Lepisosteus oculatus: one gene and its partner. The main gene of each other region encodes a partner of the protein of the gene in region 2 in a complex. Links are inferred from orthologs where the notes say so. Each region holds a gene or a part of one and is shown on either strand. Other genes may lie near its edges.

Region 1 (7,464 bases), on a different chromosome or scaffold from region 2:
AGGTGGCCTGTGTGTTTTTAAGAAGAGAAAACTCATGGCTGAGTAACAGCACTAAAACCCACAGGAGTAGGAGAAGTCATTTCCTTGAAACTGAGTCACAGGAACTTCAGATTGGCCAAAACAGACTAGTGGCAACTTAGAAGCATTCATACCATGCAACAGCTGGTTTTGAACTTAAACAGCTAATTACATTTAGTAAAATCTACTAACTTTTTCCTCCACCTAAGAGGCAAAAGTAATTGATTATTTTCACTACCTGGAATACTGTCAACGTGAGAGATGTCACCCCTGTTACTAACATAAATATACTGTATCTTGGCAAGCTTCATATGTTAAAAAGGAGGTTTTTAAAGTAAGTGAAATATATCATGAAACAGCATTGAGTGTTAAGAACACTACATAAATGCACTTAAATTGCTTATATGTCCTTTGGTCAAATGAAATCTTAATATGGATATTGCACAGGACATTTCCTTATCTTTTTTACAAAGACTTAGACTGATACTTAGTGTAATTATCACTGGTCAGTGTTCAAACATGGGATTTCCCAATATTTCTGAGCACTAAAATCATTAAATATAGACTTTTTTACATTTCACATTGTTCACCCTAACCAGGGAATGAACAGTAGATAGAAAATGGATGTATGGACATTTGTCACATCAATTTAGGATTATATTGTAATTGAACTAATAATTGTAACTAGTGAACTTTACTTTTTGAGCATAACAGATTATTTCTGTGGCTTTCACAACTGTATAACACATCCCTAGTTCATAGTCCTACAGGCTAAACAGTGCTTATTTGGAGTAGCTATGTTATCACAGCTGTGGAAAGTTAGCTCTTTGGCTCCAAAACAGGATCCTTGAGTGTGAGATGTATGGGGCTGGGTAAGGAGAAAGAAGGAAAGAGAACATGCTCTTTTTAATACTTCTTTCAGCACTTTATTTAAATACCACTTCTTTTAGGATTTCATTAAAAAATGTACTGAATTATTTTACCATAGCAAAAATTCCAAGATTGCTCAATGCCATTTTTACTAACAGTGTAAAGATAACAACTCTGAACAAAGCTGTGTTCTGGAGTGCATCTTGAAAAAATTAAAGAGAGCAGCTCTTGTACGTTTTTGGTTGGTCCTCTGCTTCCAATTGTCTTTATTAGTAAACAGTCCATCACAGCTGAAACCTAAACACACCTGAGGTCTTTTGTGAAGAACGTGAACTATGCACACTGAAGAACTACTTTTTTCACCCTTCTGTTTAGGTTTTAAAAGAACAATGTAAAGGAACGTTACATCCCAAAGGGAAAGCAAAGAGCTAGTAAACGCTATTTCTGCTTACGAATTGCAGCAAATTATCTGATCGCTTTATTGCCTAAGAATAAAGCATTGCCCAGAATAATTATCGTGGTTTCGTTTACTGACACATAAGTTAAATCAGTTCAAAAGCAGACGTAAAGCAATTAACCAATAAAAACTTTAAAAAATGTTAAACAAATGTAGTAGGACGCTTTCTGACCTGTAACAATACCTTGGCAGGTCTACCAACCTGAATACAAAGCCAACAGTTATGAGAAACAAGAATATCTCCAAATGACTCGTCCAGTATCACTCCATTCCAAGTTCCCAAACGGCAAAATACAGGGAATTGTTTCACAAAGAGGTTCAAGTCCCTCAACATCCGCCTAGTATAGTAGATTTCCTGTAATCTGTAGTACACGTTTACAAGAATCTACATTTATAAAACCGCCGCAAACCGCAGAAAATGACCAACAGTATGAAAAGATAAACTACAGTATTCGCAGAAATGATACCACTGATTTATGCGGTGCTATCAAATGCTATAACTCTTAAAACAATGTGCACATTTAATCTCTTAATAAACCATCTTATAAATATAACGCTGCATTGTGGTAACGTTTTTCCGTAAATTTGTCTAGAGGCCTTTCGCAATTATTTATTTTTCGTCGCCCTCTTGAGAACCTCGCGGCTTTTAAATAAAAAGCCACCATTTGGTTGCGTTTTCACGAGCACATGGCATAGAAAAACATCACACCAAGGGCTAGATCAGTTCTACTGTGGCAAAGTCAATAAAAGATTAAACGTTTCCCAATCCACAGTCTATTGGCTTTCTACACATCTGCATTGGATTGCAGCATAGCTTTCCTATAAGAAAAACGTTTTGCCACTCATACTTCAATAAACACATTTACTGATTAGATTTTAAAATTGTACCTCGGTTTTCATACCTTTTCAAGTTATCATTTTAAGCTTTTAGTGAGTCTTTGGTATAGTGGCTTTTTAATGGGGTTTACAGTATTGCACAGTATAGTACAGTAGATACAAATACTATTATCTATTTGTGCGTTAAGAACGTTATGGAAAAGGTGTTAGAAGCCTAGCTGTATCTCTTAAAGCAAAGTACCATACCACTTTACCATAGCTCGTCAAATATGATTTACCGCAAGACCCTACTGCTAATGTGCTAATTAAGGTGCTTTTTTCAAAGATAACCCATACTTCCTTGCATTGCCTGCATGTTCTGCAGTCTCCGAGAATGGTAACATATAGTTTCTCAAATAACTATAGCATGGTGGTTATCGGATACATGTCCCACACAAACTGACAGTTCTCAAACTTCTCTTAGTCATGCTTTCGGTGATCCAGCATCGTAACGTTATTATGATTATTCTAACTCCCATTAAAGTCAAAAGGCATTGCATGTATCGATGTTGTTTTTCACAGTAAATATAATCCAATTTTAAAATTAGTTTTAAAACTCACCATTTCCTTTTTAGTTAACAGCAGCCAGTTACAGCTAACCAGTTTTCCTGAAAGAAAGAAAAGGATGTTTAATCGCTGACCGTACAGAAATGAACCCAATTAGAATATTTACCGATTATATATAAGGAATTGTGTATATAGAAATGGAAATGTATATATATATAGAAACTTACATTGGTATGTGATTCGTTTCCAGATGCGTACGCGTAGTCCTTAATGCGCTCTACAAGTACACATGTATCTGCAGACGTTTCAGTACTCCTTTCAACCTTTAAAGCATTATAATGCAGGTCTAAATCTCCCTCAGCGTTTTTGTCCAATCTGTCCCCATTTCAGCGTGGGACTCTCCACCAATAGGAAACGTGCATCACCCTCTCAGCCAATACCCGCGCTCCTGAAATCCGAGACAATGTGGAGCACGGTTTTACCTCGCCAAGGTGTACCCCAACTAGCAGATTATCAGGCAACACCTTCGTGAGGGGGTTACCCACAGGGGCTCAACACAGGAGCAGCCAGGTGCCGAGATGGTATTGTTCAGTGGATATCTGGCAGTTTAGAAAAATAAATAGGGCGATATGGAACACGTAATGAATTGTTGGTTTTTTTCCTGCTGTCACTCGGTCTCTAAGTAGATGGCTAGCACGTTTCAACATCTCCCCGAAAACTACCTGGGGTGAATTCTATGTACAGTAAGAACACAATTCAATAAGCTACACAAACCCCTTCAGCATGGCATTCCTTTCTAAAATGGTTTGAACATGCTGTTACTAAAGCCCAAATAATTTACATGGAATAGCGGATAGTGAATAACTGTTTTTATAACCCACAGAGACTACAAATATGAACTAAAGTTGGTCAATCCATCCGTGTTTTTATTTGCAGTAATATTAGCTTGTTTTGCAGCAGTGTGATATATGCTCAGCTTTCCTAATGAACCATGCGCCAATGTCAGGATCAAAATAAGTTAATATTATTAAATTAATCTTTTAACCATCTCGAGATCTTTCCTGAGTGAACAGATGCACTGTTAATGTATTTACTCTATGTAAAATTGAAGGCATTTTTTCAGATATGCTATATTCAATTTGATTTTGATAAGAACGTATGAAAACTGCTAAGGAAATTCTTGCAAGAATTAAGTATAATACGTACGATTTACACCTGAAAGTTCTGACTTGCTTTTGTCTTCCGAAAACATTTTCTGCTTTACTAAATGCGCATGTTTATTCTACAAACATCACCTATTAAACCGTGTTTTGAAAACTTGTTTCACTTTAAAATAATACATGCTTAAATCGATGTGCTTCGTTTCTAGACAATGAAGTGACGTGACTGGGGTATCCCAATGTTTTAGATTTATATAAGCTCGCATAACAGTCTGTAAACATAATATCAGTTCTTATAATGGAAAGCACGCATGCTTTATGTATTAATCCTACATTAGGGGTTAGATTTAATATTTTATTAGCTTATCCCGTGCTGTGTTTAGATATACTGTGAACGTTTTTTTAATCATAGCTACATGTACAGTTACGCCTTGTTATAGGGGTTGTACAGTACATAAGAGAATAAACCTATCAACTCAAAAACGAACATTTTGTTGATCGCTGACAAGAAGAAAAGGACATACAGTGTGTAGCCTATGAGATAAGATGCTACTGAAAACATCTTCATAGCACTTTCACCATTATCTACAGTACGTACAGTATAATTAAGAGAACACCCATACTGATCTGTATTGCAAAGTGCGCCAGTTGCTGATTTCTGAGTTTCTGGAATATTATAGTATGCCTTTTGTCGTGTGATAGCCATTTCATGTCAAGCAGTGCCCAGATACTGTATTTCTTGAAACATATTTCTCGTATTGGATTCAGCGGTTATTGATAATGCACGGATAGATATTCTAAGCAAAACAGCCACTAATGATTGGGTAGTTGACCGCGATTCTAACACGATAATAACTAATAATAAATTATATCGCTGTAAAAGCAAACCTTGATGGGATAAATATTATATTTTTTTTCAATATGTAGAGACATATTTTACTTGTTTAGGGGATTTGTAAAATAGCTGATTAGAGCACATATAAGTTTTTAAAGGTAATTTTCCCCATCACAAAATGGTCTACGTTTTGCATGAATATATTAGACTAACGTGACATCTACTTTAAGGGGGTATATTAAATTATGCATTCGTAAGCCGTATGTAGATATTATATTATATTGTATTTAATCAACATTCTGTGAAAGACATTTTATCTAAAGTGAAACTGCAGCGTTCTCCAATTTAGGTCCGTTCCTTAAAATCAAATTTCTCTTCTTCGCTCTTTGCGCCTTTCTCAAGCACAGTGGACTACCCCCATCTAGCGTCTGATTTTAAACGCAGAGGCAGTGTAAATACACCACAGGCTTCATTCTTGTGTATCAGCAGCTACGCGGATGTAAAATGGTGTGAAAACTCATCAGTGCTACATTCCCGTAAACATTCCGAACATTCTCGCGTTCATCGCTGTTTTACAATGTAAATAAGACTGTTAACAAGCAGTTACCTTATGCAAAGATGTCAGCCTGGCCTTAGGAATGTTACACAAATTGTGAACAGCTGTTTTATAGAATACGATAAGCATAACAGCTACTCGTAGATCCTTGAAGAGAGTATTCCACGTGCAGTTTCTCAGAGCGTAGTACTGTGTGATGTCATTTGCTAAGAAAAATCATTCTTCTTTCTTGATTTCAGTCTGTATTTAGTGTCTAAATAGTTCCTTCAAGTTAACTCTTGATACACAATTTTGGGCTATTATAAGAGACGCCATTCATTAAAAACGTTAAGAAGTTTTCAGTCTTATTAATATACAAGCGAATAATGTTCTTTCGTGTTGCATAGTCTAATGACGGATCGACGACGTATCTGTTTTTAAATGGACCTTGTTTGAATCTGATAATGCGTCCACGTTTAGCGATTAGTAGCATATCTGTTGCAACAATGAAGTAGAAATGGTACTGCTTGCAATATTAGATTTTGTTAAAGACGCAAAGAAAATACTGTATTATTATATTTAAAAAATAAGTGTTGTTTGTATCAACATTAATAATAAAACAGTAACTGTAAGTAGTAATAACAATAATATTATGGTTAAGAATAAGTCGATAATATTGTTTGCTTACAACAATAATATAATTAAATTTTAAATAATAGCGATAATAATATTGTTCTTGAGAATAACAACTAACCACCACAATAACAGCTGCGGACTTTGCCTTTTCACTGTGTTAATACTGCCCTCTAGTAGCTTTACTTGGAACGGGTGGGAATAAAGGGATTTTCAAGGTCACTAAGAAAAATCAATATGATTTTGGCATCATGCTTCTCAAAGGAACCACATCGACCTCCTGACTTAAAAATAAACAAAGTGTTTATTACTGCATATTAGGTTGTACTTAATAATGATGTGAATAAAAGATGTGTTAACATTTCTACATCAATAACAGATTGTGACAACGCTTCAAAGATATTGTTGATGTGTGGTAAATATTCCAGGACCGTTTCTGAAAGAGAAAATGTTACAGAATAAATTATGGCAATAAATATACAAACACAAAGATTTAAATAATTTTCAGAAAGAATGTGGAAAAAAATGTCTTTGAATGCACCTTGGGCTACAGAGCTATCTTCCACCAATTACTTATCTGAGTTTATTCCCTGATGCATGCCATCAGAGTGTGAGCTGCCTCATCTGGTTGCAATCCCAACTCAAAATGATAAAATACAGCGGACAACGTCATCAGAAAGCTGTAAACCAGGCAAGACCAGGCAGATCTAAGTTTATATAACAGTGAATTACAGATCAGTTATGTGTATAGAGAAGGTATGTTTGATCTTCATGGCACTTGGCAACCCTCTGGGCTTACAGCTAAAGACAACAAAATTCTCAGTCTCCAGGACAAGATCAGTAAAAGTGTGTTTGCACCGCTGACTGGATTCTGGACTGAGAGCAATAGAAAAGCTCTAATAAGATGGGTCAGATGTCTTCTTATGGGCTGCTTTTCCCAGCTCTCTTTCATGTCTGTCTGCTTCAAGGTGAGAACGTTGGATTAGCTTTTCCTTTTAGCTCTAACTTTGTTCTTTCTTTTACATTTGTGTCCTAAATTGCATTAACGAGTGTAAATGTTAACAGCTGTATTGTTAAGCTTTTGTCATCATAAAGATTAGGTTGTTTCTCTTTCACCAACAGTGTGACAGCAGTAATACTGTTTGTTATGTTTAGCTAATTAAAATGCCACCACCAAATGTTGTATGATCAGTTTATTTTAAAATACTGTACATCAACGCTGTTGCTTCTTCCTACCTGACCTGGGTTCATTTTTACAAGTTTTCTGCAAAGCAGATAAAACAGACTTGAATTCTGTAAAGTGGTGGAATTATAATTAAAAATAAATAATATATTAAATAATAACACAATATTAATAATACAAATGTTTTATACTGCACCGAGCAATGATAAATTCTGGAACATCATGACATAACGACAGTGTCAGTGTCAGGGATACTCTCAGACATTAGGTCTAAGTAAATTAGCTTCATCATTTAATATGATGAGTTATTTATTGGAAAACAGATAATTCCAAAAAAATCATTTTAATTGCTGTATCATTTTCGCTTACCTGTTTTATCCTGTTTTTTGC
Region 2 (6,935 bases):
CGAGGGCTTTAGCGCCGTGCCCGCCCTGGCGCGGCTGAGCCCCAGCAGCCGACACCAGGAGCCCACAGCGGTCCCAGCAGGGCCACCAGTTGTGCTCAGTTAACCCATGCAGGATCTGATTGTTTAAGGAGTTTTTTTTTTTTGGAATTGCAGATGAGCCTTTTCTTTTATTGCGTGCCCTGGGTCGCACAGTGGCGTGGCAGGCAGTTAGCACTGCAGCCTCACCGCTGTTGGACTCTGGGGCTGGTCCTGGGTTGCTGTGGCGTCTGTGTGGAGTGTGCATGTTCCACTAGTGCTCACATGGTCTTCTTCTGGGTGTTTGGGTGTCTTCTCACCTCCAGGCATATGGATATGGATTTTTCTAAATTTGCCCTGTGCTTCCAGGATAGTCTTTGGCTTCCTATGACCCATCAAGGCAAGCAGCTCTCTGTGTGACTAGGTCGATTATACATCCTGGCAGTTTGGCACTGTCAGTTGCATTGAGACTCTGCCTTCTTTCTACGATTTCATTCGTGTGCCCTTTTTTTTCTCTGACACGCATTCACCATTTGGCACGCTGTGAGCTCCACAGTGCCAGCAGGAGAGCTAGTCCAGGCCTGAGAAGAGGTGCCTCTCTCAGGGAGACGCCCTGCAGTTCACAGAGTCGACTGGACCGTGGCTGAGCCACACCCACCCTAACCTGCCACCCTTCGGGGAAACCCTGAGCTGGCTTCCGCAGTGACCCGGCTCACACATGAAACGTCAGGGCCTTGGTCCTCAGTTTGCACTCTGTCACAGCCTTTACTGATGGAGCCTCTTAGGAGCCCACGTCATCTTTGTCTACCGCTTTTTTTGACAATGGCTAGGGAAGTAGCAGTGCATGCATGATCATAATCTCCGATCGATGCTGACATTTACCCACTGAGTGCAGTTCCTGTTGTGCAAGCAGTGTGCATCTCTAGGGGTGCTTGTCTTTTTCCTCCCTGCTTCTCTACGGTCGTACCTCTGCTCTTACTGTCATGTCTTTCACAGAAGATGACGTCTCTGCTTTCTGCCCCACAGAGTGCTGCACTGGCATCGACTGCACCTGGAATACAGTGGGATAAACTGGTCCCTTTTCAAATTGTGTTGAATTCACCATTTAAAACACTTCTCGTTTGGTGGACATCATAAATGACAATAGCTGTTTCAAACCAATGTTTTCCCAAATGTATTCTACAGTTGGTGTATCTCTGCTAAGCTCTGAAGACCTTAAAGAGATGCAAAGAAAGCAAGCCGGGTTTTGGGCTTTAGCACCACGGTTGGATAACTTGCTCCATACCTCCACAACTGTTTGCGTAAAGAAGTGCCGCCTGTTTTCTGTTTTAAATTCACTTACATATAGGTTTCCCTTGTGTCCTCAGGTTCCCTCTACAGAAATCCTCTGGGTTAACCTTACTGGTGACTTTGAGGATTTTAAACACTTAAATCAGGTTCCCTCACAGTCTTCTCTTTTCAAGACTAAAGAAATTCAGTTCTTGTTGTTCCTAAGTCTTCAGGGAAGGGAGTCTGATGGTTTTCAGTCTCTTGATAGGTGGCTGTTGAGTGTTGGGCTCTTCCACATTAAGGGCATGATGATGGTGGTTCAGTATCAGGTGGGATGTTACTGTTTGTCAGCAATCTTCATCATGGAGAGTTGCAGTGCTCCTCTGAAGACAGGAGATCAAACGGAGACAAGAAACATTGACTTTGTTTAGCCTAAACACAAAAATGCATTCAGTACACAGACTGCTGTACTTGCATGCATACAGATCTGGCATGCATATGTTGGGTACTATAAATAAGATAGAATTTTATTTCGTTTTTAAGTTATCCAGCAAGGATATTTTCCAAGAAACAAAGAAAATACTTTTTTAAAAACAGGTATATGAGCATGTTTTAATATGTTTGTAGTGTTGGGGGTTAAATAAACTGAAAAAAACATTTTATTTATTGAGCTGAGCTGTAATTTCACAGATGACAGCCTCAGACTGCCATAGTTAGGCAGTCACGCTGGCTGCCCTGGGGGTTGTGTTCTGAATGCATCTGTATTGATTTCCTCATGTACAGCAGGCAGTAGCCTTTCTCTTGCCTTTGCCCAGTTATTTTCCCTTTTGTATATCCCATTACCCCTTCAGCTATTTGAAACAGCTGAAAATTAACAGTATAGCCGAGGACCCCGCCTTCAATATTCTTGTTTCACCAGCATCTCTCGATCCAAATGAGTGTTGTTGGTTTTTTTTACATTCCAAGCAAATTTGACACAACCCAGAGGAGACACAATGCAATGACATAGACGTGCATTTTAAACTGAGAACAGGAGGCCCTTCTTTATACAAAGGGTTGTGGGAGTATGAAACAAGATACCTAGCTATACTGTTGAGGCTGATACCCCCTGGCTTCTTTCAAGCAATGACTGGATGAGATCCTTGGATCAATTAGCTACTAACTCCCAAACAGGCCAGATGGGCCACTTAGCGTCCTCTTACTTCCTTATGTGAAAACTGAATTTGAAAGTGTGTTCTAATCTGTTTATGGACAACGTCCTGTCATTGAGTATGTCCTTCCCCAGCCTAATCTGGGTGGGTGACACTAAGCGTTCGGTATTTGATTGCGTTTTCACCTGGATTTGTTGTCATTTTCGAGACAGAGGAGCTTCTGCTACCATTAATAACGATTTTTGACATCCGTCTCCTTCAGTATCGTACTACTGCTGTTCCCATCTCCTGTTACCTGATATATTGAAAACCTGCAGTTGTGTTGCTTGTCATTTTCAGCAGATGCAGTCAGAGCAAATGTCTTTTTCACTTTCACTGCATTATTGAACTTTGTCTTGCCATTTTCTAGCTGAGAACTCCTACAGAAGTGACAAACTCTCTGCAGAATACATATCCTTAGCAACACACATCCTCACATAAAATAGGTTGAAGTTGGAAGCATATTAGTTTCCAAGCTATTCACATTCCAGACGATGCTAGATCCTGTTGCATATTAAATACATTCATCGAATATTCATTCAAAGATCATTTGCATTTATTTTATCCCCCTGGCAAGAGAACACATCACACCACCCACTCAATGAAAAACTAGCTTTTCTACCAAATGAAAAACCCTTTTTAACCCTTTGAGGGGTTAGGGGTTAGGGTTGTGTGTTCTACCTGTGTTTGCATGGGTTTCTGCTGGGTTCTCTGGTTCAGTGCACAGTCCAAAGATGTTATGGTAAGATCTTAACCCCAATTTAATTAAGTAGGTTAACTGGCTTCTGGTAAAATTGGCCCTGGTGCAAGTGTGGGTTGTCTGTGTGTGTGTCTGCCCTCTGATGGACTGGCATCCTGCCCAGGGTGTGCCCTGCCTTGTGCCCATTGATCGCAGGGATTGTCTCTGGCTCCCCTGGCACCCTGTATTGGATAAAGCAGTTAGATGTAGGATGTGTGGATATCATCTTCAAGAAAACATGTTTTAGGCTCAGAACACAAAAGCCCATTCATGTAATTCACTGAATTGTGCGATGACCTTAGCAGTCAGGAGCACTTAGATATTTAAAATGAGCCCCACCCCTGTGAATGTCTGGAGCTGTCGATTTGGCCTCGATTTGATTCTCAGATCAATGTTTTCAGCACGATTGTGCAGCAGGTTTCAGACATGAAGTAATTTTAGAGCCATCTTCTTTTAAATGAATCCTGAACAGACCCCTACACACACACACAGCCAGACTCTGAGGTATGGTCTGGTTTTCCTCCAACGTGACCTTTTCTCTTCTACCGATGTCACATGATGACTATTATGTCCATGTTAGGCTCATTCGTTGCTTACTGGTGGCGTGCTTTCTAACGAAGACTTGTTAGTTTTATCACCCACGGCTCTCAAGATTTAGTTTCTCCTTAGGCAGGTACCCTTTACAACAGCAAAGCTGATTGATTTAATTCAGACACACACAATCTTGCGGTAAATATTTTTTTTCCTGGAATCCTGCAGTTGTTTTTTTTGCCCGCAGCATAAACTGCACACATTAGACTCCAACATAATACGATAAAGATCCGATCGACTTGGCAGGCAATTAACATATTGTCAATTAACTATCTCATCATCTTAGGGCGAATCCCTTTCGGCGACATAATTACATTTTACATCTTCGGAAAACAGCTTCTGGTGGAGAGTATGTTATATTTAGACTATAACAAGGAGCGAAACCGAATGCGGCAGAGGCGATTTTAAGGGTCCGTTACTGAGACAAAACTGAAGTCCGGAGACTCTGGCTCCTGTACTGTCCAGCAGTCAGTCCGCGGTTGCTAGGGGCTCAGTTCCTACGCTGGTTGCTATGGAGCTGGAGTGACTCCAATGTCCCGGATATTGCGATCCCTGTCCCAACATGGCGACGAGAAAGTGAGGTCGCGGCTGGGGATCTACGGAATAGGATATAATCAATAACAGCAGAGAGAGAAACTCGCTGGGGTTTTTCGGAGTTGCTTTAGAACGGGAGACACCAAGGAAACACCCAGGTAGGAAACGATATAAACTTCATACATTGTTTGGCTTTATATTTTATTATTTTTTGTATCTTTTGTGAAAGGGTCAGTGGAGTTCAGTCGTGGCTATCTACAGTTTCTACTTTGTCATTTGTGAAAACTTGCGGTGTGGCTCAAGAGCTAGGTCGTGTCCAAGTATCGGAGGTTGTTTTGTTTTTAAATTTTAGTGGATTATTCGCCCTTCTTTCGGCGAAAACCGAAACCGTTGACCTATTTAGGAATGTATCTGAAAATCTGTGCAAGTCCGGTCGTGGTTTGTTTTTTTCCCAATCGTTTTCAAAACAAACAAAAATCAAACCGGAGCACACCGCAAGACCTGGCTGTCGTGGTCACTCGTCCAGGTCAGGCTGCGTTTGGATCGATGTGTTGGGCAGTTCTCTGAAGTGGACCTACAGCATGGCACACTCCGCGAGTCCAAACACGATTATTATCAGCGTGACTTATCATTATGAGCTGCAGTATACGGGGAAGAAATGCAGTTTGCTCCACTTTCCGGCAGCGGATTCATGTTGGATCAATTCAACATACCGTCCTGTGTTTCGAGTCCTTTTGCAGCCATTATTGGACCATATCAAGACATCTGCTGTACTTGGGAAATGTTCATGTGATACTCCTGGGCGAGTGCTGATCTCCACGTACACCACAGCGCGCATTTAGTGCCCGTCTTACGGCAGAAACGACTACTGTGTGTGTATATATATATGTGTGTGTAAATCGTATGTAATAAATACTGTCGTGCGGCGCAGTAGCCGCTGCTGATACAGAGTAATCGTGCCGCGGGGCGCCGACACCCCGTCCACTCCGGCTGGGTGGTCGTGTGCGGCGTCCCTTGTGAAAGTTGGGAGAACATGAGGGTGTGAGGCGGAGAGGGGAAACCGAGGCACAGCAAATCATGTGACTGCAAATGTGCGATATATTGGTAACGTGCAGGACTTGACACCTCCCTGTGAAGAAACCTGCCGCCCCCAGAAATGCCTTTCCTTATTTCTTAGAAATGAAATCGCAGGCTCTTGGCGCATTGGTGATGGACCACCTGTTGACTCTTACATTCGGGTTTATCTTTTTAATTTCTGTGCTTCCAATTACACTGCTGCTTTTTTTTTAATAAGTGATTGGGATCGTAATTCTACCGCCGGTATTTTAATAAAGTGTCGCTGTTGTTGTTTGTAATTTAACGGTATCGATCGGTGCGGTCTGCATCGTGCTGGTTCCCAATAACGATTTACAATTCACTGATAAGACTCTTTGGGAGAAAGCTGCCAGCGGAAACAGATATGGGTGTGTGAGGTTGTTTTGAGATCAGGGTTGTTTAAGGTTTGTCTGTCAAGCCGCTCCGTGAAGCTAAGTGCTGACCTTCAAAGGTTTCATTTGATCACTTCGTGTAAAAGCGAGAAAACCGCATCACTGATGAACAAGGGAGCAGCGCAGAAATTGACAGAGGGTTCAGCAATCCCAATGAGCACATTTGCCATTATTTATCCTCTTCCTCGCCTGACATGTCCCTTCCCTGAAACACCTGTCCTTCACGTCTAAATTGCTTCTACCCCAAAATTTCTTCTAAATAATCATCTGTTGTCCCAGACACAGGTAAATATTATTACCTTCTTTGTCCTTTTTCTGAAGGGCACTTTCCTGATCAGATACTCAACAGGACAGCGTGGTGGCGCCGTGGTTTGCATTGCTGGTGTCCCAGCTTTACTTCCGGACCAGGGGTGCTGCCTGTGTGGAGATGGCGTGTTCTCCTCATGCTGGCGTGTTCTCCTCATGCTGGGCGCTCCGGTTTCCTCCCACAATCCCAAAACATTCTGGAAGGCTAATTGGCTTCTAGCGAGGAAAAAAAAAACCCTGCGTTTGGCCTGAGATCGACTGGTGTCCCATCCAGGGGGTACCCCGCCTTTGCACCCGTTGTTTGGCCGGATAGGCACGGCTCTCCCGCGGCCGTGAATCGGAAGAAGCAGTTGGAAAATGGACGGATGGCGATATTTAACATTTGTTTTCTAAATAAAAAAAATAAAGGCTAAAGGGATATTTCGCTCTGGAACAAGACACTCTGTTATTCTCTAGTTATTCGTGTGACTGTTCCCCACATAAAAGGCAGTTAACACATGGATAGCAATGTCAGTAGTGCAACACGCTGCACTCTCAGGTTAGTGGAGGAGGTTAGTGCACTAATAAATAGTGGTCAAATAAAAGTGACCAGTACGCGAGTCACATGTGCTTTAATAATCTTCAGTAGCAATTCCTTCAGCTTCCTTTTTCTCTCAAAGTGGAAGGTCTGGCTCTGAATTGGTTTTGCATCTGGGTTTCGGATGGCACATGCCTGCTGGTTGAGAGTGGCTGAGTTAGACATGACTGCCATTCCCCTTTGGATCCATTCCTTCCTTTCCTGGAACACGGCCGGCCTCATGTCGA

Evidence for each region. Proteins that work in one complex are often made in the same cells at the same time.
Region 1: the proteins of pak4 (region 2) and inka1 are in contact, whole or in part, in a crystal structure (PDB 4XBU), measured with the Homo sapiens proteins. The link is inferred for Lepisosteus oculatus from reciprocal best matches to the Homo sapiens genes PAK4 and INKA1. Residues at the interface, in NP_001014831.1 of Homo sapiens: Ser331, Gln358, Arg359, Glu361, Leu362, Thr404, Asp440, Lys442, Ser443, Asp444, Phe461, Leu475, Val476, Gly477, Thr478, Pro479, Tyr480, Trp481, Met482, Arg489, Glu507, Glu512, Phe516, Asn517, Glu518, Pro519, Pro520, Met524; in NP_976248.2 of Homo sapiens: Gly178, Arg179, Ser180, Arg181, Gln182, Pro183, Leu184, Val185, Leu186, Gly187, Asp188, Asn189, Cys190.

The regions. Positions count from the first base shown.
Region 1 is NC_090699.1:53,994,614-54,002,077, reverse strand, and holds the start of inka1 (PAK4-inhibitor inka2), read right to left. Parts: upstream 3,080-7,464; 5' UTR 2,956-3,079; intron 2,830-2,955; 5' UTR 2,786-2,829; coding exon 2,783-2,785; intron 1-2,782. UniProt on the Homo sapiens protein: Inhibitor of the serine/threonine-protein kinase PAK4. Acts by binding PAK4 in a substrate-like manner, inhibiting the protein kinase activity.
Region 2 is NC_090698.1:5,422,780-5,429,714, forward strand, and holds the start of pak4 (serine/threonine-protein kinase PAK 4), read left to right. Parts: upstream 1-3,878; 5' UTR 3,879-4,496; intron 4,497-6,935. UniProt on the Homo sapiens protein: Serine/threonine-protein kinase that plays a role in a variety of different signaling pathways including cytoskeleton regulation, cell adhesion turnover, cell migration, growth, proliferation or cell survival.